Danio rerio: one gene and its partners. The protein of the gene in region 4 purifies or fractionates together with the protein of the main gene of each other region. This does not show direct contact. Links are inferred from orthologs where the notes say so. Each region holds a gene or a part of one and is shown on either strand. Other genes may lie near its edges. The genes, in order: ccnt1, ybx1, lsm4, mepceb and mettl16.

What was found.
Region 1: the proteins of mepceb (region 4) and ccnt1 purify together in Homo sapiens (affinity purification with mass spectrometry; 3 studies listed by BioGRID and IntAct, with this or other methods). This does not show direct contact. The link is inferred for Danio rerio from reciprocal best matches to the Homo sapiens genes MEPCE and CCNT1.
Region 2: the proteins of mepceb (region 4) and ybx1 purify together in Homo sapiens (affinity purification with mass spectrometry; 3 studies listed by BioGRID and IntAct, with this or other methods). This does not show direct contact. The link is inferred for Danio rerio from reciprocal best matches to the Homo sapiens genes MEPCE and YBX1.
Region 3: the proteins of mepceb (region 4) and lsm4 purify together in Homo sapiens (affinity purification with mass spectrometry; 3 studies listed by BioGRID and IntAct, with this or other methods). This does not show direct contact. The link is inferred for Danio rerio from reciprocal best matches to the Homo sapiens genes MEPCE and LSM4.
Region 5: the proteins of mepceb (region 4) and mettl16 purify together in Homo sapiens (affinity purification with mass spectrometry; 3 studies listed by BioGRID). This does not show direct contact. The link is inferred for Danio rerio from reciprocal best matches to the Homo sapiens genes MEPCE and METTL16.

The regions. Positions count from the first base shown.
Region 1 is NC_133198.1:38,760,559-38,764,781, reverse strand, and holds part of ccnt1 (cyclin-T1), read right to left. Parts: intron 2,026-4,223; coding exon 1,800-2,025; intron 1,547-1,799; coding exon 1,383-1,546; intron 1,263-1,382; coding exon 1,192-1,262; intron 1-1,191. UniProt on the Homo sapiens protein: Regulatory subunit of the cyclin-dependent kinase pair (CDK9/cyclin-T1) complex, also called positive transcription elongation factor B (P-TEFb), which facilitates the transition from abortive to productive elongation by phosphorylating the CTD (C-terminal domain) of the large subunit of RNA polymerase II (RNA Pol II).
Region 2 is NC_133183.1:56,873,751-56,877,352, reverse strand, and holds part of ybx1 (Y-box-binding protein 1), read left to right. Parts: intron 1-66; coding exon 67-156; intron 157-1,898; coding exon 1,899-2,219; intron 2,220-2,307; coding exon 2,308-2,393; intron 2,394-3,602. UniProt on the Homo sapiens protein: DNA- and RNA-binding protein involved in various processes, such as translational repression, RNA stabilization, mRNA splicing, DNA repair and transcription regulation.
Region 3 is NC_133186.1:6,965,593-6,970,441, forward strand, and holds the start of lsm4 (U6 snRNA-associated Sm-like protein LSm4), read right to left. Parts: upstream 3,133-4,849; 5' UTR 3,018-3,132; coding exon 3,015-3,017; intron 1,247-3,014; coding exon 1,205-1,246; intron 304-1,204; coding exon 205-303; intron 44-204; coding exon 1-43. Other genes in the region: probable ATP-dependent RNA helicase DDX49, read right to left, coding at 4,306-4,449, 4,564-4,635. UniProt on the Homo sapiens protein: Plays a role in pre-mRNA splicing as component of the U4/U6-U5 tri-snRNP complex that is involved in spliceosome assembly, and as component of the precatalytic spliceosome (spliceosome B complex).
Region 4 is NC_133198.1:47,985,071-47,989,923, forward strand, and holds the start of mepceb (7SK snRNA methylphosphate capping enzyme-like), read left to right. Parts: upstream 1-1,722; 5' UTR 1,723-2,212; intron 2,213-2,288; 5' UTR 2,289-2,298; coding exon 2,299-3,789; intron 3,790-4,853. UniProt on the Homo sapiens protein: S-adenosyl-L-methionine-dependent methyltransferase that adds a methylphosphate cap at the 5'-end of 7SK snRNA (7SK RNA), leading to stabilize it.
Region 5 is NC_133190.1:27,742,980-27,747,973, forward strand, and holds the start of mettl16 (RNA N(6)-adenosine-methyltransferase mettl16), read right to left. Parts: upstream 2,959-4,994; 5' UTR 2,691-2,958; intron 2,132-2,690; 5' UTR 2,121-2,131; coding exon 1,993-2,120; intron 1-1,992. UniProt on the Homo sapiens protein: RNA N6-methyltransferase that methylates adenosine residues at the N(6) position of a subset of RNAs and is involved in S-adenosyl-L-methionine homeostasis by regulating expression of MAT2A transcripts.

The DNA of each region.
Region 1 (4,223 bases), about 9.2 Mb from region 4:
TACTGTATTATAGTATTATTACTATATTACTATAGTATTAATATAACCATCAAGATATATTTATATACATACAGTGCTTCCCACAGGTTTGAAATAAGCTTGTGGTGGTAGATAAGATTTTACCCGCAGCACATAAATAGTTAACTATATGCGACAAAAAACTATTGGATTTTAACACTATTTTTATTATTATCCATTTTAATCTTTTTTTTTCATTTGAATAATTTTAAAGTTTATAAATAAATAAAAAATACACTTTTTCTATTTTATACTATTTAGGAGCCATGCAACAGGTAAAAATCTACTTCTCTCTATCTCCCATTCAAGTTCAGGTTGCTTTATTGGCATGACAATTTGTACAGTATTGCCAAAGCATATTAGATGCAATAATAAATTTATTGACATCAAATTAATAAAATATTTTATAATATACATAATAGAAACAAGGAATAAATACAGACAAAAATCTGTAAAATTCTCAGGTAATAAGTATATTATTTAAAAAAGATAAATGAGTGTAAAAAAAATTCTAATGGTGTACAAATATTCTGCAACCAATTAAGATGTAATTTCATCCGCTGAGTATTTAGTAAAGTCATTATTATAACTAAAGTAAAGTCTATGTGTGGGAAGCACTGATGAAATTTCCTTGATGGAAAGATGACTGAGGGAGAGGAGGTCTATATATATATATATATATATATATATATATATATATATATATATATATATATATATATATATATATATATATATATATATATATATAAATATGTATATATATATATATATATATATATATATATATATATATATATATATATATATATATATATATATATATATGTGTGTGTATGCACTGTATGTATCCTGAGCCAAAAAAAAACCCACCAAAAATTCCTTGTTTGCGTGCACAGCTTTAAAACTACTTTGATAAAAGGTTTTGATCCACTCAATTTAAACATTGATATTAATAATTAAGGTATAATAATTGTTTAAACACTTCAAAACAGTAGATTTTACTCTATTTAAGATCAAAATGTTTGTTTGCAGTATTTTAGTTTATTTTTTTACATTTTTAAAGATGTTCACAACTCTACTGATCCTTCACAAACGTCTAAACCGTACTTCCTATCCAATACAAAGAAGTTATCTGTAAATGAATGCAGAAATGGAGGCAAAGCTACTTACTTTCCAGTTTCTGGTGCGTTTTAAGCGGCTGGGTGTCTTTTCCAAGATCTGCAGGAACTCATGAGTGAGCTCTGTGAAATAAGAATTCATTTTTTTTTAGTATTTGGACAAAAAAATACTCAATATTTATTAAATTTCTTCATAAAAAAGAAAAAGAAAAGAAAAAGAAAAAACAAACTAGATGTACATACCATCCAATAGCTCAAGAGTCACAGTGGGGTCAACATACTGCCACCAGTGTTTGCCATCTGTGGAAACGGGAATCTCCCAGTTGGACCATTTACAGGCCAGATGAATACAAACACAAGCTACAATTGGTGGACTGTACTGCAGACAGAACGTAGTCAAGTGAAGACTGAAAAAACACAAGAAAAAAACAAACATATATTTGAGAAACCATTAATAACCTTGTATTATTTAAAAAAAATAACCCAATATTGCATGTGACATTACTTCTAAATTCATTTAATTTGCCAGTTGAAGGTTAAACGTAAATATAACCTCACACTTCTTGCATACAGCAAATCGTGTACTTGACTTTGCTAGTTTACATATTCGGCAGCAAATGTATTAGAGTAGTAAGGTAATGGTCTTAAAAGCCGACATACCTGTTTGTTGCCATGAAATATGAAGTCTGAGCCAAATCCTTACTCGCTGGAACAATAAAAGGAAAGCTCATGATCAGACGTGAAATCTGTGAGCTTGGTGTGCTAGACGTACCCTTTACTGAGCAATACGAAGCACAGTTTAGAGTGAGCAGCTGGTTCTCACCTCGCACAAGCTGAGTACACTTGACAACATGTGTGTGAGGATGATCAATGGTGATCTCAAAACCTGAACGCAAGAGAGCAGATGAGAGAGAGAGAGAGACACTATTTTAGCTTTTCGTCTGAACTGTAATGGCTCCTCAGACATGAAGCCCCACACACAATATACAGGATGAGTGAGTGAATCACAAACATGGGTCTTCCAGTGCTTGAGCGGTCAGAAATCTGAGAAAGCTCCATGCAAGTGGCCTGTGGGGCAATTTGGTTATAGTCAAAACGCTCAGACCAAAACACCATTACGAACATGAGAACAGAATTTTTCAAAGTCAAAGCGAAATAAACACAATTGTGCACTTGAGGGTTATCATGATATGATGTAGGCAGGTATGATTACCAGCTAAATAATCAGTTTAATATAATATAAATAGTCCTACATAAGAAAGGGTAAAGCTCATATGAATAAGCACTAGAATAAGGATAAATATTGGAAAACTGCACACTATAAAAAGAATTAAACAATAAAACACAACAATTAAAATCATATTTTTTCCAGTCAGAAAGATAAACTGTGATTTATCTTATAGACCATTTTAATATGGTGTATTTTATTTTGGTATATGTAATGTCATTGGCCCATTAACTTTTCCTGCTTGCTGTCAAACTATTTCATAACTGTAACTAGAGCCGATTTAATCATATCTTAACGTTAAAACAGCTGTCATAACATTATCAATGTGTGGACATTTCTGGATTTTTGGAAGCTATGGAAATTAAAAATGTAATACAGAAATTAAGTTAGGTCCATTGTTATAGTTTACATCACTCAAACTTATCTGTATATGGGTCGAAGACATCATCAGAATGTGTCCTGGTTATTTTAGAGCCAAAAATTTATCACAATTTTCAATGGCTTACAAAAGTCACCCATTAAAATGTCATTCAGTGTAACAGTTTATATGAAAAAAAAACTTCATATAACCATATAAGAATCAACTGATGAAAGTTTTACATGCCCAGGACACGAAACAGTACTTTTAAGGATCTCCATGCAGCTATAAAATGCTTTAATTTGGTAATCAGCAGTCCTATGACCCACTGGGTGTACAAAATTAGCATGTTACTTAATGACGATGGAGCAAGAGTTTTATTTTGACATTTATATATTAATATATTTGATTATTTATATATATATATATATATATATATATATATATATATATATATATATATATATATATATATATATATATATATATATATAATATATTTATATATATATATATATATATATATATATATATATATATATATATATATATATATATATATAAGGGCTGCACGACATGGGAAAAATCTGATATTGCTATATTTCTGTGTTTCACAAGATAGTTTGAATAGCACTATTTGATGGTTATCTGGGAGTCTAATAGTATTCAGGTACAAAAATGAAATAATCACAATGCAAAAAAAGCTTTTCTTACTTTGCTTTGACTGATTTCTAATCCAAGCATCCAAAAATTCTTGGAGCATGCAAAAATATTGTATTGTCTTTAACTTAATTTAAGAGTTAAAGCAAGCTAAACTATCTGCCAGTGGGGCAAGTACAATAAACTTGCTTTCCTTTTGAAATGTAAATATTTGGACTGGAAACAAGACAAAAATTTGAAGCAAGAAAAACACTTTTTTGTTAGCAAAACTCATTTAAATTCCATAGACATACATTGATTAAATACAATTCTATAGTTTCTGTTCAACTATAATTCAGACTTAACATTGCAAATCTTGCGATGTGACTGTAGCGGATGCGCACATTGTGATATTGATAATGAAACAGTATATTGCGCAGCCCTAATATAAATAAATACATAAGAAGATTCATTACTTGCATTTTGAAAATGTGTTTGATGCGCAGTAGTGGACTCCAAAATGGGACCTCTAGTCTTTGACCCATATATAGTACAAAGATAAAACTATTAGTGACAAATATTATTTCCTGTCTTTGGCAGTCACACATTTTAACCAAGTAGTGCATTTGATTTTTTTTTGCACACAATAATGCATACAAGCTTTTTTTAAGCAGATTGAGGCTGATACTGGTATATTATTACCCTTAGTCCTTAGTGTAGTAGTCAAGATTATACTCTTAGCACAAAAATTAAAGCCTTTGTAAAACCACAGAAAGGGTGAGCGGCCAGATTGGCATGGTGATGATGCTCAATAGTCCTGTAGACTCCTGTGAATTATCAGTGAATGGGAACAAATGTG
Region 2 (3,602 bases), on a different chromosome or scaffold from region 4:
GTTTTCTTTTTATATTTGTGTTGGGGTAGATGTATTTTTTTCTGATTGCCTTTGTTTTCTGTCTAGACCGCCATTAAAAAGAACAACCCCAGGAAATATCTCCGTAGCGTTGGGGACGGAGAGACTGTGGAGTTCGACGTGGTAGAAGGGGAGAAGGTGAGCTTTTAGTCGTAGCTTAGTTTGACTCAAACAAAAGTTTCACCACACAGTTAGAAATATTAGGCTTGAGGACTTGTTTAATAAAAGTCAAGGACAAATTATTTATTGAGAAATGTATTATTTCTTTCTTGCTTTTATGTAGTACTAGTCAAGCTTTGGGCTTTAAATTAAAATGCATTAAACAGCACAAAATCATAACACAGATGTCAAACTCAATCCTGGAGGGCCGCAGCTCTGCTCAGTTTAGTTCCAACGCTAATTAAACACACATGATAGAACTGAGTCCTTCAAGCTTGTTTAATACATACATGCAAGTGTGTTGAAGCAGGGTTAAAACTAAACAGTTCCTGGTGGGTTGCAGTCCTGTATGGAGTTTGACACCCCTGCCTTGACTTTAATTGACTTTTCGATAGGGGTGGCTGAATATCTTGACTCTTGAATATGTGGAAACTTCACTAGACGCTGCTTGACCGTGTAAGCAGAGTGTTTATTTCTATATTATAACACTTTGTCAGTCGCCATTTCCTAAATGTTCACTCAAGCCTTTTATTGGAGACGTTTACTAGAGCACTTCACAATTCTTTTATTTAAACTGCTTTGTTAGTTTTATACTCTGTTTGTTTACTGAAAGAACTCTGTTGTCAACAAAGACTAAAGCTGAACTGAAATAAATTTTTCACAATAAATGAAAATAAAACTAAATAAAACTAATAAGTCACTGAAAAATGAACCAAAACTGAAAATATTAATTAGCAAAAATAATAGTTTTCAGAGCTAATCAATTGTGTCCGTGAGGTCTTGAATTTCTCTAAATTATTAACTTTGCGTTTAAGACTTTAAGGGCCTTAAAGTATTGTTTCAATTTAACTTTTGCATCATGTTTGAGTATAGGGTTGTTTGATTATAGTTGTATACTAAAGTTTTAAATGTTGTGATGCTGTGTAGTTTATGAAGTTGATAGTCCTGCTGTATTTGATGTCACACTGCTTTGTTTACTGCAGTAATGAAGGCAGCACACTGTTCTATAGGTGACATCTTCTGGATTAACATTGTTAAAGTATATGAATGATGTTTTAGTTTAGGACTAGTTTCTTACAGTCAATATTTAGTGAATCTATTTAATGTCGCCAATGTTATTGGTTCAGACTTGGTGGCGATGAGGTCTTCATGTTTGGTGATACCTGTTGGTTGTCAAGTGCATGATGTACCAAAAAACTAAAACGTATCAGTTTTTGTTATCTGCCAAAATTTGTTAACTATACATGTTGATACTTTTAATATGATGTTTCTCACTTTCATGCCAAACAACAGTTTATGATTTTGCTAATTTTTTTAAGTTGAATTTATATGGTGTTTCTGTTCAAGTCCAAAAAAAAAAAAAAAGCGGTGAAAACATTTGCTTAACTCTAGGTGTGTGAGAATTGCCAAAACTGAAACTAAATGTGTAAGAACAAAATGAAAATGTTGACAGCAAATTAAAAGCCAAACTAAAACTAACAAAGCCATTAATAAAAATGATAAGCTGAAATTCAAAATCAGAGAGGTTATGTCATCAGAACTACTAAAATAATTCTCTGCGTATCCTAAATAAAAATGCTTTGAAGCCGATATTGATTAAGCATCATATTTCTGGCCAGACTCTGAATGACTTACTGGAAAATTCTGCATCCATTATCTAAAGCAACAGCCCATCTATTAAATTAGCGGACACTTGATCTGCATTGTCTTCATTCTGTCAGGGGGCTGAGGCAGCAAATGTTACCGGCCCGGGTGGCGTTCCTGTGCAGGGTAGTAAGTATGCAGCTGACAGGAACCGTTACAGGCGGTACCCACGCAGGAGGGCCCCACCTCGCGACTACCAGGAGAACTATCAGAGCGACCCTGAGGCAGAGCCCCGGGAGAAGAGAGAGGGGGCAGAGAGCGCCCCCGAGGGGGAGATGCAGCAGCAGCAGCGCAGACCCACTTACCCCGGCAGACGGCGCTACCCACCATACTTCGTGCGGAGGCGTTACGGCAGACGCCCCCCCTACACCAACTCACAAAGAGGAGAGATGACAGAGGTATGCTTTTGGTGATGCCTGAGCATCAGTCAGTAAATTAAATTGGAAGCTGCTTTTTTGACTGATGGATGCTTTTCTTGAATTTTAGGGTGGTGAAGGTGAAGAGAACCAAGGGGGTCCAGACCAGGGCAACAAACCAATGAGGCAGAACTACTACAGAGGCTTCCGACCAAGGTTTGTATGTCATAAGAGGAACAATACTGCTGCTGGACTTTGGAGATCTTTCAGATATTCATGATTTTCATTATTTAAGTTTTCTTTTTCTATTGTTTTAATTAAGTATTAATTTAGCAATTCTATTTATTTATTTTTTTAATAGAATGATCCACCCCAAATTACAAGTTTCCTGATAAATTACTCTTGGGTCATTGAAGTAGGCCTGTCACGATCAATATATAGACTTACTGCACAACACATGGACTTGACCTCGATCATTTTTGGTGATGCAGTATATATCGCCCATACATAATCAGTTCTAGCAACGTTTTAACTGAGCAGCCTCTTTATGGTTCTAAACATTGTAGTAATTCCTAGAGTATATTTTTATGTGGATGACTGACAGCTGAAAATAGATCTGCTAACATATCACAGACTTTGTTACTTATTACCTTGCACTTTTATTCTATTTAAATTTTTTGTTAACATTTTATTGTTTACAATATGCGTTTCACACTTTTTGATTCCAGTGCCTGATTATTAAATAGTTAAAATGGCAATTAAACAATCTTAAGAATAAATTGTGTTCTTTGGAAGTGTATTTGTTTTGTGGTTAATATATTGTCATTCTGGCATTATTTAATAAAAGGCTTTTAAAATGACAATAATATTGTTTATCACTATACATTTTGGTTCAAAATGTTGTTTAACAAAAAAATAGATATTGTGACAGGCCTACGTCTAAGATGTAGATGACTTAATTTTTCTTCTCCTTTTTAGCTAAATCTGTGGTCTTTGGGGATTTTATATTAGAGCAGTAAATGGTTCTGGGTTTTCTAGAATAAAAATAAAAGCATACAAAAGAGTCAATCAATATCTCTGTGCAAGTGTGACTAGTCTTTATGATTTGATTTGTCATTTTTGATCTTGATTTATGAAAGTGCAAAGGCACTCATTCAAACAAGTGATGCAGTTTTTGTATTTTGATGACTGACTAGAGTCGCACATGCACCAAGAACTGTTTTTAGCTTTCTACAGTGCGGTCAAACACTGTAAAGGTTCAGTTTCAGTAAATGAAAACGGTATTTGTTTTTGTGTGAACCCTTTTTTTTTTTTTTTTTTTTAAATCTCACAAATCAAACCTCATTATGTCCATCCTGCACAGTCGAGCTTAGGAAGAATAAAGCTAAACCATAATACTGCAAGATACACCGAATAAGTGCAAGT
Region 3 (4,849 bases), on a different chromosome or scaffold from region 4:
CTCTTATGTAGCATTCTGGCATCCTCCAAAACTTATCTCCATCCTGCAAATCAGAGCAAGCAGAAAAAACAGCCGTCACATTTCAGCAAGACAAATAAATAACCTGCAGATTTGTTTAAATAAAACAAACAAGTGTTTTGCTTAATTTTGTAAGGAATCAATAGTCTCCCAAAGACGTTTTCATCTGAATGAAGTCGTATTTACCCGTGAAGTGCAAATAACTTCTCTCAAGTTTATATTCATCCAGTTGTCGCAGCTGACCAGATGGCCGTTGTATGTCTCGCCATTCTTTAACTCAACCAGCTGAAAAGAAAAGCAGATTAACTTAAAAGCTCAATTATTGTTCAGCACTTCATTTTAGGGCTGTGCAATTAATCGAAAATTCGATTTCGGCTTCTAACGATTATAAAAAAACATTAATCGAGATAAACGATTATTCCATTATTTACCGCCCCCGTCCAATTGTCCTCACTTGTTGCTCTTAAAAGCGCGAAAGACCACATGCTTGTGTGTGTGCGCCGCACAGACACAGTCAGAAGCATGCGGTCAGCAGTTGGTCTTATTCGCACATTGCGACGAGCAGAGAGCACACACATCTAAAGTCATTAACGTGAGCGCTTTAATGTTCAAACAGGTGTCAAAACGCAGTATTTAGTGATTATTCATATTAACCCTCATTTGTGTAATAAACAAATGAGTTGAGAATCAAATGACGCGTGAAAGCGAAACCATTAAAGTGACAGAGCACAATAGCTGCCGCCTGTTTTATCATAATTAATAAAACAACGAGAAAATCCCTCTCTGCTCTTAATTGAAGTACTATATATATATATATATATATATATATAAATAAATAAATATATATATATATATATATATATATAAATAAATATATATATATATATATATATATATATAGTCCTATTTGTTTTACTTAAATAAAAGCAGTTTTAAATAAATAAAAAAACATTTTAGGGACAATATTATTAGCCCCTTTAAGCTATATATCTTTCTAATAGTCTACAGAACAAACCATCGTTATAACATTTTGGGTTTATTTGTTTTTCCAAATCATTTTCAGGCCTGGAAAATGCCTTGTCAAAATTCCATGACTTTTCAGGACAGTATGATCCCTGATCATGGCACCTTTAACTTCGTGCTGACAATAAAGATGCACGCATGAAGTGAGCTGCTTGATACTCACCATCGGGTGGTTCTGTGCCGTCTTCAGTAAAGATAACGGGAGCTAGAAAAGAAAAAGAAAGAATTCGAGTGGTCATGCTAACAACAGAGTAAATGAAGAGTTTCTTCTGTGCTCACAATGGAATATTGTTAATTGTTATTCAATTGGAGATTACACTCACTAACCAGAATATGTGACCCTGGACTGAGCATATAGGACAATAACTGGGTTCAAGGTTAACAGCGGTTTGGAAAACTTAAAATTTTAAAATTGCTATTATTTTTCAGATATTTTTTCTATGTTATATGCAAGTTTTGTTTGATTGTTTGATTTCATTTAGTTTTCATTTAGCAACACTATCTCCAGCAGAAAAGGACCCTCTACATCTCAAGACACCGGTTAGCCCACGATTCAGCAAATATTTGAAAAACAAATCGCTTATGGCCTGTTTTCACTGAGTGGTACGGTTCGGTTTGGTACGCTTTTATGGCCATTTGCACTGTCAAAAGGCGAACCGAACTGTACCACTTCTTAGGCACCATTTCGAAAGGATACCAAACACGAGAAAGGGTACCAAAAGGCGGAGCTAGATGTGCAACTGAATGTTCTAGGTTTACAGAAATACGTCATTCGTCTACGCAATAAGCCAGAATGAAAACAAAAAACCTGCCATGTTTAAAATACACAGCCGAGAGATTACAGCGTACAGCATTTAGCATGTATTTGATCATTAAATGTTAAAAACTCAGTCCTGTTATTCATATAAGCCATAACAGGAGCGAATTGCATTCTCTGCTGCATATATAATAATGCAAAAAAAACTATTGACGTAAGATATAGAGGTAAAGTTAGTTTTATTTTCGCATTTTCGTTCATTTAGAAGTCCCTATAATGTTTAACATGAATATTTGATCGGAATTAGCGTGCAAACATGACTTCTAAACAACATTAACACCATCTAATTGACTGTAAACAATGCTGTACTTTGATAATCATTTGGCTGCTAATTTGATTTTCCAATTTAGAATTTGCAAAGAATACTTTTCTATAATTATATTATTAAGGGGAAAGTCTGAATATGCGAATATAAAACTAAACTTACCTCTATATGCAAGATGATTTACTTGATTATTTAGGTACCATTGCTTATATATTTTAAACATTCACTCACTGTCCACTTTATTAGGTACACCAGTCGAACTGCTCATTAACGTAAATTTCTAATCAGCCAATCACATGGCGGAATCGAAATGCCTTCAGGAATGTACACATGGTCAAGATGATCTGCTGTAACGTTAGTTTAAATCGAGCATCAGAAAGCTGGAAGAAAGGGGATTTAAGTGACTATGAAGGTGGCATGGTTGTTGACGGGCTGGTCACTAATGATGTTTTCAAGTCATATACACAAGTATACTTGCATGTGATTTTAGACCAAATGTTTAAAGTACCATGGTAAACAAGGTAGGGAGCATGTCACAAGTTGTCACTGAACGAATGTGCGAATATAAAACCGACTTTGGATATTCTTGATAAAACTACGCCAAAACCTTTCTGACTTCTGAAGTTCCTCGCATGTCTGTAGAGATAATTTAATAGAGTAATAAATGTATAATAGCCGTCTACATTGATTTTTAACTAATTTTATCTATTTTACTAAATAAGTACGTAACGTGCTTGTAAAGATTCGTGTATACACCCAAATAAAACGTTTACACAACGCTTTGTTTCTGCGCGTAATCGGTGTTAACCGACCTACAGATCATCCAATAAACACAGCGGAAAATCTTAATTTCACTAACGTTAGCCAGTAAGTTTATCGACTTCATCTCACCATGTCAGCTGAATGACCAATCAGTCTTTATATGAAGTTTTAATCCACTGAAGACTTCAATCACAAATGATTTTCTGTGAATCTTCTTCGCAGCACAAGGCGATCTGCAAACCACTTACTGTTGTACTTCCAGGTGAAAGCGGAAGTTGTCAAAGCAAAAGTCCCAAAACGCTGCGTCCCAAATCACATATTTATACTACGCCCTAAAAAGTATGTACTTTTTTGTAAAGGAAAAGTTTATACTTTTGAGTGTGCAACAAAAGAGTATGCAAGCTTTGAGACTTACTACTTCCTCCTTAACAGATCGCTGTGTTGCTTAGTTATGCCCCGTGTAAATCATCCACACATCATCCAGCAGCAGGTTAATCTGCCATTTATGAGTCCTTCATGCAGAAAGTTTCAAGGACACCAGGACCATATTAATGTAATTAATGACTGCATGTTGTAGGGGCAGAATGGAAGCAGAAAGGATTCTTTATAAGATAGTTGAGGGAGACTCGGATTTAAAGTCTGACAATCAGACAATTAAATAAATACCTTTTATGTTAAATTTGTTTTGAATTAACATCACCTCTTTTTTTCTTTTGAGTTTGGCTCTCTTTTAGACTAAACTGTTTCAGGAATTTCAACACAAAAGGAAAAAATGGCTTTTGTTTTCTTTTTGTTACATTGATATTGGATTAATATCCCTTTACAGCCATATCCTGTAGAGTTTTGTTGTCCGAGTTTGGCGGTTGTTTTGAACCAAAATGGATAGAGGTAAAGTTGGTTTTATATTCGCATTCAGACTTTCCCCTTAGTAATATAATTTTAGAAAAGTTTTCTTAGCAAATTTTAAATTGGGAAATCGTATTAGTAGCCAATGATTATTAAAGTACAGCATTGTTTACAGTGATTTAGATAGTGTTAATGTTGTTTAGAAGTCAGACTTGCATGCTAATTCCGATCGAATATTCAAAGTAACATGGTAAACAATATAGAGACTTCTAAATAAAGGAATATGTGAATAGAAAAACAGCTTTACCTCTATCTAAAATGGTCCTGTGGTCCACTACAGTGGACATGCTATAAAATAAAAAAAAAGTGTAAAAACTCTAAATTGTGAAAAAAAATTTTAAACCCAAAAGATGTAGGAAATCACAGAAAAAAGCAATAAATAAAATAAAATAAAAAAATCAACACAGATTCATTCATTCATGTAGCAACACAGTCAACACTGCATCACATGTTTATTAAATATAAGCATATTCACGCTATATACATAATATTAAATTGTACAAAAGAGAGGAAATTAAGAGCCAACTTCTGTCGCTTTTGCACTTTTCTCATGTTTTTTCTTTTCCTTTTTGCTCTGGGGGTTTTTTCCTTTGAGTTTCTTATTTTTTCCTCGGATCTTCTCTAATTCATTTTTCCTTTTTTCTTCCAAATCAGGATCCTGCAATAGATTTAAAATTAAATCAAGGAAAAAAAATTGTAAAATTATGCATGTACACAAAAATACTTTATAAGAAACATACAAATATACAAGTTTTTTTTAAAAATAACTCACTTTTCCATCCAGAATCATCTGCTTCCTTTTGTTTATCTTCTTTTTCTCATCAAAATCTGTCGACTCTAATTTCTATAAAAGAATTAACAATTGTAAAACTTTATAGCATGCTTTAGATATATAAGTGTATATATTCTACCTGACAAAAGTCTTGTCGCCTATTTAAGTTTTAGGAACAACAAATAATAACTTGACTTCTTAGGGTTTTCACCTTGGAACAAAAAACATGGGTTATTCTTCTGTCCAATACAACATCTAGTAAAAACAACTTGATCAAATCTAGTCT
Region 4 (4,853 bases):
TGGCGTTGATGCTCAATTGGTACTAATAAACCCAAAGTGTGGCAAGAAAATCTCCCCCACACCATTACACCACCACCACCAGCCTGAACCGCTGATACAAGGCAGGATGATCCATGCTTTCATGTTGTTGAGGCCAAATTCTGACCCGATCATCTGAATGTGGCAGCAGAAATGGAGACTTATCAGAGCAGCAACGTTTCTCCAATCTTCTATTGTCCAGTTTTGGTGAGTCTGTGTGAATTGTAGCCTCAGTTTCCTGTTCTTAGCTGACAGGAGCGGCACCCGGTGTGCTCTTCTGCTGCTGTAGCCCATCCGCCTCAAGGTTGGTCGTGTTGTGTGTTCAGAGATGCTCTTCTGCAGAGCTCGGTTGTAACGAGTGCTTATTTGAGTTACTGTTGCCTTTCTATCAGCTGGAACCAGTCTGGCCATTCTCCTCTGGCATCAACAAGGCATTGTTGGCACATGCTGCCTTGTGATTGGCTGATTAGAAATTTGCGTTAACGAGCAGTTGGACAGGTGTACCTAATAAAGTGGCCGGTGAGTGTATATGTAGGGGAGAAGTCAAAAATACATTGAATTAGTCAAAATTATTTTTTATTCTATGCCAAAAATCATTAGTATAAGTGATCATCATCATACATCGAGACGTTTTATACATGTCTATATTGTAAATATATCAAAACTCATTTTTTGAATAGTAAAATACATTGCTAAGACCCTAATTTGGACAACTTTAAAGGTGATTTTCTCAGTGTATAATACCATTATCTACCTTCAAATTTCAGAATAGTCATTTTAATTTATTCATATGTTATCAAAAATAGTTCATTTTGGCATTAAAAAAGACATACCTAGGGGAATGCTTATTTATTCAGCTTATTTTTCTAAAACTCAACACTTATGACTTGTTTTGTGTTCCAGGGTCACATATATGACACTCTTATTGTAATATATTTCTATACCTTTAGTTAGCTATCTCTTCTTCTCTCTTGTCTGTAAATAAGCTAAATGTGTGTAATTTAGGCCATTTACACCAGTCCTGCCAAACAAAAATAATGATTTAATAATGCATACACTGAATCCACTGACTCAAGTGGGTTTTCTTTCACAATAATCAAAATAATGAATCATATTATGCTGTTATTTTCTTGTTTTTGGCAACAGGTTCAGATCAAAAGGACTACATCTCCCAGAAGTCTCCTCCTCCTGCAGCAGAGTGGGAGGGTCTCTTTAAAACTCGCAGAGGCGCTAATTCCATACGATATAAAATGCTAATATGACATAAGTCATGTTTTATTAGTTATCCGATCATTAGTCGTTGTTATAAGCGTAAATTCAGCGCGGAAGAACTCTCACAGGGGTTGTTTACACATGTGACGACTGCCTGTTTCGAGTTCCCGAACGTTCTCCAAAGCAGAATTATGGGATTCTGCTCAAACACATACTCTTGTTAAATAAACAAATGCATTTTGTCGTCAATTTGTTATATTTTACTGATTTTGACGATAATATTTAGTGTCTAACGGGTCAATTCAGGCAGTCCGCTGGATACCTATTAAAAGAGGAGGGGCGGTGACTGCGAGCACATGCCTTCATTTAAAGCTCCGCCATTGGTTGTTCGAGGGGCCTTAACGTATATCGCGCTTTCTGATTGGCAGACGCGACTGTCCGTCAGGCTTGGTCTGTGGTGGAATATATAAGCGCGCTGGTCTGCTGTGCCACAGGGCGAGATGGAGCACTGCGAGTTCAAGCGCTCATGAACATTCGACAGATCAAAGTCTATTTTTAATCAGCACCATTTTAGCAAAGTGTTTTTCATATCTGCAGTAGCGCGAGTCAAGTGCAGCTGTGTGTTTACGTAGCTCTAATGAGCGCGGGTCTGTGTACATAGTGTGTCGTGTGCGCTGTTTTTGTTTGATTTTTGGCGTTCGTGTTTACTCTCAGCGCGAGAGAGCCGGAGAAAATATCTCGCTCAGTACTGTGTGTGTGTGTCTGTGTTAACGGACGTGTGCGTTTGTGTCGGAAAGGGGGGGAGCTTTCGAGAGTCGCGTTTCCGTTGCATTATTCATGAGCGTCGCGGTAGCCCCGCCCATAGGCGGAGTTAGTTAAATTAACGCGCCGTGGAGCTGTTAGATGAGCCAAATGTAACACGTGGGTCACAAGCACATCAGTGCCCATAAAACAATACAGAAAGCAGGCTCAGAGTAGTCAAGTAAGTACTCATCTGCAAGCGTCACACATTTATATCTTGTATATTGTACTTGAATGGTGTGTTTCTGTGTTTCCAGCGGCTGATGGATGTCTACTGTGATGTCAGTGCAAAGTGAGCTTCCTATTGCTGGTGGGGCAGCAGGTTTACTGGCCCACCCGCCGTCCCCACTGCAGACCATTAAAGATGAGGTGACCGCTAACATTGTGCTAACCGAACTCGCAGCCAATCACGTGACCCCACAGGATGGGGTTACCGCCGAGGGGCCCTTTCAGATTAAAAATGGCCTACAAACTCGAACTGAAGTGCAGACGCAGAAACTGGCGCAGAAGCGGCGCTACAGTATGAACGTGGCGTTCAAACATCCGAGTCTCGGTAAGCGAAGACGCCGCGCCAATTCTGAATGCGATCCTGTGCTTCCTACTAACTTCCTGCTGGGCGGGAATATATTTGATCCGTTAAACCTCAACAGCCTATTGGACGAGGAGGTCAGTAAAGCGCTTAATGCCGAAACGCCCAAATCATCGCCACTCCCCTCTAAAAACCGAGACCCGGTGGAGATTCTCATCCCGAAAGATATTACAGACCCGCTGAATTTAAGCGGCAGGGGCGGAGATTCGGCTGCCGGTGTGTTGGTTTCTCCAATGAAGATCAGACGCAGACACCGCAACCGCCATCATCCTGGAGCGACCACAGGCGTTGCCGACCAATCAGATTGTGAGAAGTCAAAAACCAATGAAACGACATTATTTCCTGTAGCTAATCCTGAAGAGGCTGCGAACAGTGCCGTTCTTCCGCCTGTCGAGGAGTCGCCGCGTCCGTATGAGCTCAACACCTCGATTAATTGCCGCGATGAAGTGGTGCAACCTATTCTGCCACGGCGTAAGTCACACCCCTCTGCGTCTAGCTCCGCCCCTCAATTACTCTCTAGGTCCGCCTCTGCGCCCCATCCGTCCAAACATCGGAAGCGCAGACGAACTGTCAGTCGCTCGGACTCTCGCCTGTCAATCACACCAACTCCGCCCACCAAGCGGCTAATCACACACACTCAAACCTTTCACACTCCAGTTATAGGCGGAGCCAGCGGAGCTCCTCCCTTGGGGGCGGAGCGAAGCCATGAACAGCAGCGCAGGCCGCGGCGCAAATACCATAATGGAGCCTACAGCCGTTACTATGGCTACCGCACACCATCGATGACCGACGACCCACGATTGGCTCTTTTTAATCCCGAATGGTTCTCTGGAAAAAAAGTTCTAGATGTGGGCTGTAACACGGGTCATGTGACCCTTGCCATCGCCAAACACTGCAGCCCCGCCCACATCCTGGGCTTGGACATTGATGGCGCGCTGGTGCAAGCCGCCCGCCAGAACCTGCGCCATTTCCTGTCGGAGCTGCAGGACAGGCAGCAGGCGGGAGCAGGTGAGGGGTCAGAGGTCACGGGGCTGGTGCCGCTGATGGACCTGCAGCTGGTGTTACCCAGGTTTCCTGTCTCCTTCATGCGCTGCCGCGGACCCATCGCCGCTCCTCCCATAATGCATCAGTCTCCAGGCCAGTTCCCCAGCAACGTCTGCTTCCTGAAGGTACACTAACATAGCTGAAGCAGCAGATCTTCCTGACGTGTGTGTGTGTGTGTGTGTGTGTGTGTGTGTGTGTGTGTGTGTGTGTGTGTGTGTGTGTGTGTGTGTGTGTGTGTTATTGGATGTATAATTAATGTTTGGATTTTGCACACACAAACATCTGTCTGTATTTCTATATATGGAATCTATCTATCTATCTATCTATCTATCTATCTATCTATCTATCTATCTATCTATTCATCCATTCATCTATCTATCTATCTATCTATCTATCTATCTATCTATCTATCTATCTATCTATCTATCTATTCATCCATTCATCTATTTATCTATCTATTCATCCATTCATCTATTTATCTATCTATCCATCCATCCATTCATCTATCTATCTATCTATCTATTCATCTATCTATCTATTCATCCATTTATCTATCTATCTATCTATCTATCTATCTATCTATCTATCTATCTATCTATCTATCTATCTATCTATCTATCTATTCATCCATTCATCTATTTATCTATCTATCCATCCATCCATTCATCTATCTATCTATTCATCTATCTATCTATTCATCCATTCATCTATCTATCTATTCATCTATCTATCTATTCATCCATTCATCTATCTATCTATCTATCTATCTATCTATCTATCTAACTCTATTCATCTATCTATCTATCTATCTATCTATCTATCTATCTATCTATTCATCCATTCATCTATCTATCTATCTATCTATCTATCTATCTATCTATCTATCTATCTATCTATCTATCTATCTATCTATCTATCTCTCTCTATTCATCCATTCATCTATTTATCCATTCATCTATCTATCTATCTATCTATCTATCTATCTATCTATCTATCTATTCATCCATTCATCTATCTATCCATCCATCCATCCATCCATATCTGTCCGTCCGTCCGTCCGTCTTGTCTGCCCATCCATCCATCCATCCGTCTATCTATCATAGTTCTATCTGTCTGTCTATTTATCTATATTTCTATCTGCATCCATCAACCCATCAACCCATCTGTCTATATCATGAACATATATAAA
Region 5 (4,994 bases), on a different chromosome or scaffold from region 4:
TTTATTACTCCACCCACAAAGAGTGACAGCAGATCAATAAACTCACTACAGTTTGGTAAATATTGCAGCTGTTGGACAACATAATGTAATTTTAGGCTTTTTTTTAGGCAACAATGTTTAGATTTTATTTATAAGGACAGTGCCGATTTTAAATATTTATAATTTTGGAGGTACAGCGCTATCTACAAGATGGCGACAGAGACCGCATAAGCCCTTAGAGAAGACAAACCAAGCGTAATTTCTAACTACAGCTGATCAAATCATTATGAAACAGGTAAGTGACTTCTTAGTCGTTCTCTCTCTTTTGTACGTGTAGTTCTGTACTTATACCATTTAATTGTAGTGTATCGAGTGTCAGATGGGACTCGCATATTAGGAATATATGTATTTTGTGTTGGCCACTCTGTGTATAACCCCGAGTTACTTTTTGGTTGGCCATCTGTTTGTTTCTAATGAGTCTCCTTTTTTCCATTACTGCAGACTAGTTCTAGAAAGAAAGAAAGAAAGAAAGAAAGAAAGAAAGAAAGAAAGAAAGAAAGAAAGAAAGAAAGAAAGAAAGAAAGAAAGAAAGAAAGAAAGAAAGAAAGAAAGAAAGAAAGAAAGAAAGAAAGAAAGAAAGAAAGAAAGAAAGAAAGAAAGAAGAAAGAAAGAAAGAAAGAAAGAAAGAAAGAAAGAAAGAAAGAAAGAAAGAAAGAAAGAAAGAAAGAAAGAAAGAAAGAAAGAAAGAAAGAAAGAAAGAAAGAAAGAAAGAAAGAAAGAAAGAAAGAAAGAAAGAAAGAAAGAAAGAAAGAAAGAAAGAAAGAAAGAAAGAAAGAAAGAAAGAAAGAAAGAAAGAAAGAAAGAAAGAAAGAAAGAAAGAAAGAAAGAAAGAAAGAAAGAAAGAAAGAAAGAAAGAAAGAAAGAAAGAAAGAAAGAAAGAAAGAAAGAAAGAAAGAAAGAAAGAAAGAAAGAAAGAAAGAAAGAAAGAAATGTGCTTAGCATCTGTTCTAATTGAAAACACAACAGTAGTCTGGTAGTATTTGCGCTGCTTTGGTTTTTTCTGAGTGAATTATTGTGATCTCCCGATAGCAACAGAGAAATACTGGGAAATGTCTCTAGACTGATGACATTTCATGCTTATCAGCCTTATAATCTTAAAATATGAGCAAAATCACCTGTTTTGTCGTCACTTTAGACAATACACTAGATAATTATTTAAATTCTAGCTCAAAAGTGATGTTGGTGAATGAGCAATGGTTTTTGCTGTTCTGACGTCAGCTGCAAATGTGAACAAAAGGTTTTAGACTCTCTGTCTTTGATTTTCTTTTTTATACATACAATTATGCCATCGAACTGTTGTATAAATGCAACATCACATTAGTAGCAGTGCGATGTAGCTGTATAGTATCACTGGTGGCACTCTATGTACACCTCCCACCAGTGCCAACATACAGCCACATAGCACTGCTCCGAGCATGATATTGCTCATATATTTATATAGTCTTTTTTCTACTTTTTAAATTATTAATTGTGAAACTATTATTCTCCTTGGATATCTCAGTTTACACCAAAAAAAAAATTAAGAAACAATGACAATAACTCGCCATTTTTGAACACCACTTTTAGAATTAACATTTTAAAGAAATTAAAATGAAACTTCATTTTAAAATTAGATTACATTTTTTTTACTTTTTTTTTCTCAAACACACCAATTTTTTTTTACCTGTAGTCTACATACATGTATATCAATATGATAATGAAATGAGAAACTACCTAATACATTTAAGAGTGATTACCAGAAATATAATCGTTTAAAATCACATGTAACTTCTAGTCAAACCCTAACAGAAAAAAAGTCTTCTACAAGAGTTCACAATCCTTTGAGGACTCACAGATCAGTCTCTCTTTCTCTCGCAATGCCAGAACAGAACAACACTTTTAATACCTCACATAATAATGCCTCCAGCAAGTCATATGACACCTTTCCTAAAACAAAAGCACAACATTACTTACGTAACTCTGCCGGTCAGTGTGGTCTGCACGTGCTTCTGGAATTCAGGATATTTGGAGGCCAGGTAAACAAAGTCTGGTGGTTTGTCCTTGTAACGGTTTCGGGGATGCATAGATTTATTCAGCGCCATTCTTCATGAAACTGCAAACACAGAATGAACATGACACCTTCAGAAAACCAACAACCACAAACAGATTTCCAAAAAGATCTTAAGGATATTTGTCCTCTAAATTAAAATAATTCTCGTGCTGTTTTGTATCTGTATGAACATTGTAAACAGATTCAAATAGAGATATTCAGTCACCATTCACCTAACTTTACACTATATGCAAAATAGTGACTGAGACTGTCAGTTTCTAACATTGTGCCTACCTTCTTTTAGTTATACACGACAAAATATTGTATATTTACCATATTAACATGGTATAATATTACATGGACTAAGACAGTCATATGATTGGGAGAAATAAAAAAACAAGAGCAAGGGTAATTAATGACATCTGATTTTGTGGTGAACTCCTCCCTTAAATCTTGTTTTGCAAAGCCAAAAATTAAAGTGCGACATTTATATGCTGTTTTTCAAAACACATATATTTATAAAAAGATCGAAATAGATATGTTCATAAAAGATATGTAACGTTAGATATGTTAAATACCACGTTGTCACTGCGCTTGTTTGGGTGTAATGTACTATACGAACCTAAATCACAAGTGTTTGTAGACAATCTCTAGAGAAATGATGCTAAAACTAGCCAAATAGCTAACAGTTTTACCACAAAACATGCATATGTAATAAACTGCGCATGCGATAGTGTAACGCATCGATAAATCATAAGAATAGATGAATACCGATAGATGAAAACTTCAGTAGTTTCTCAGTGTTCAGCACATTCAGCTGTCATTGGCGAATCACGTTGCCTCAACGTTGTTGTTCCCGGGTTCCGCTGTCGTCATAATTCAGCGTCGGCGAACGCTTATGGTGTCATAAAGTTATTTAAAAATAGTGACATTTCGTTTTTGACACCTGCGTGTAATTGAGATGCTTAAGATATTTAAAATATATTCTTTACATGCAATTTCTTCAGTGTCTGTGAAGAGAGTTGCAGCAGTGCAGGATAACTGGTAATTTCACCATCACCTCAGGTACACTGTAAAAATGCCTTCATTTTCAAGTCATCTAAACTTACATCAAACAAACCGACTAAAATATTAAGTTATACTCTGTACAACTTTAAAAAATAATAATAATTGAAACCATTTGGACTTTCAAACAGAAAAACATCAGCTGTCTTGATTTTAGATGTTAAATCCAGTTCCTGGAGGGCCGCAGCTCAACAGTTTATTTACAACCCTGCTTCAATACACCAACCCTGTGTTTCAAACAGAATTGTAGGACCTAATTGGTTTGATCAGGTGCGTTTAGTTCAGGTTGGAACTAAACTGTGACACCTGTGCAGCGTAGTATGAGCGTGTATGTGTAATGTAATTTTCTAATGTAATTTTTTTACATGAAGAACATATTATTGAACCTGGCAGCAATTTTCTTTTTTTCAGCTGCTCATTCTACTCAAATGTATTTCAAATCATCTACATTACATAGTATTTTAATTTGCATATTTAAAGTCCATAACACTTCATTGTTTTCTACCTTTAGATTGCGCATGCAAATTTGAAACCCACAATCAGAAATTACCACATTTATCATAATCTGTTAATTGTATTTCCAACTGTAATAAAAAAAAAATTAGATTAAGCCTTTCCTATGCATCTTTACAAAGACTCTTAAACCACACAAACTCACACCTATACCTTTGAATATATATTATTTACTCATGTGGATGTCTGTCTTTTAAGAACTAAAAAACAGAAGAATTAAGAATTTTAATTAAATCTTTTAATTGCACATCCTTATATATTATGTACATTTCTTTTTAGTCTCCTAATTTTATAAGCATCAAGTTCCTTCGTTGTATCTTGCATTAAATGATAAATCCTTCTACTCTGTATAAAAAGCATGCATTATTTTTCCACTCCCATCCAAACACTTAAGATTGCTGACTCTGCTAAACTTCCAAAAACAGAAGAGGCTGGCACACTTTTTTTCTGACCTGTTTGGTTGTTCAAATTCCAAAAAAACTTAAACCCATAATACAAATGATGTGCATTTAGCTATCTGATTTGAAGAGTCGCATGATCCCTGTTTGACTCCGCACACAGCATCAGACACAACATTCGTATTTTTTTCTCTTTAATTATGTTGCAAACAATAACATCCAGATATATTGTTAACAATTGGCTGTGTGAACAGTGATACCATAAAAAGCAGAGTCCCATTCAAGCTGTGAAGTCTGAAGCCTCCAATCTATTCACAAAAGTAATAGCTGATGATAAACCTGTGGCGGGAGGGCGAACCTGCAGACACCACCTTCACCAGTCTGTCTGCCTGTACATGAACTCATCCAGCGTGTGCTGCAGTAGGATTGCTTGGGAACTGCGAATAGCAAACCTTCTCTCCGGCAAACAAAAATAAACAGGACATCATTGTTGTCAAACCACTAAAGGTGTTATAAAGGGGCGGGTTCAATTTAAACATTTTTCGATTACCTAAACATGTAAATTCATTATCATTTACCTTCATGTTATTCTAAACAAGTAATCCTTTTGCTCATCTTCAAAACACAAATGAAGATATTGCATCAAAACAAAGACTTCCATCCCTCCACTAATAGTACATTCTCCCAAAAATGCTTTAAAAGATTTAAAACCTAATCTGTAAGCCTCAAGCGGTTTAATCAATGTCTTCTGAATGGTCAAGATCACTTAATTTTTCTATTTAATTTTGGGCTTGAGGTAATATAAATTGATTCAACAAATGTTAACAACCTTCAAATTTGCTCACTAAAGCCTATGGATGCTTTCTTGGTGTGTGAAAACCAATCAGTTATATTCTTCTCTGTCACATAGCATATTATAGCGTGTACAACCAATGAGGACTTTCTTAACG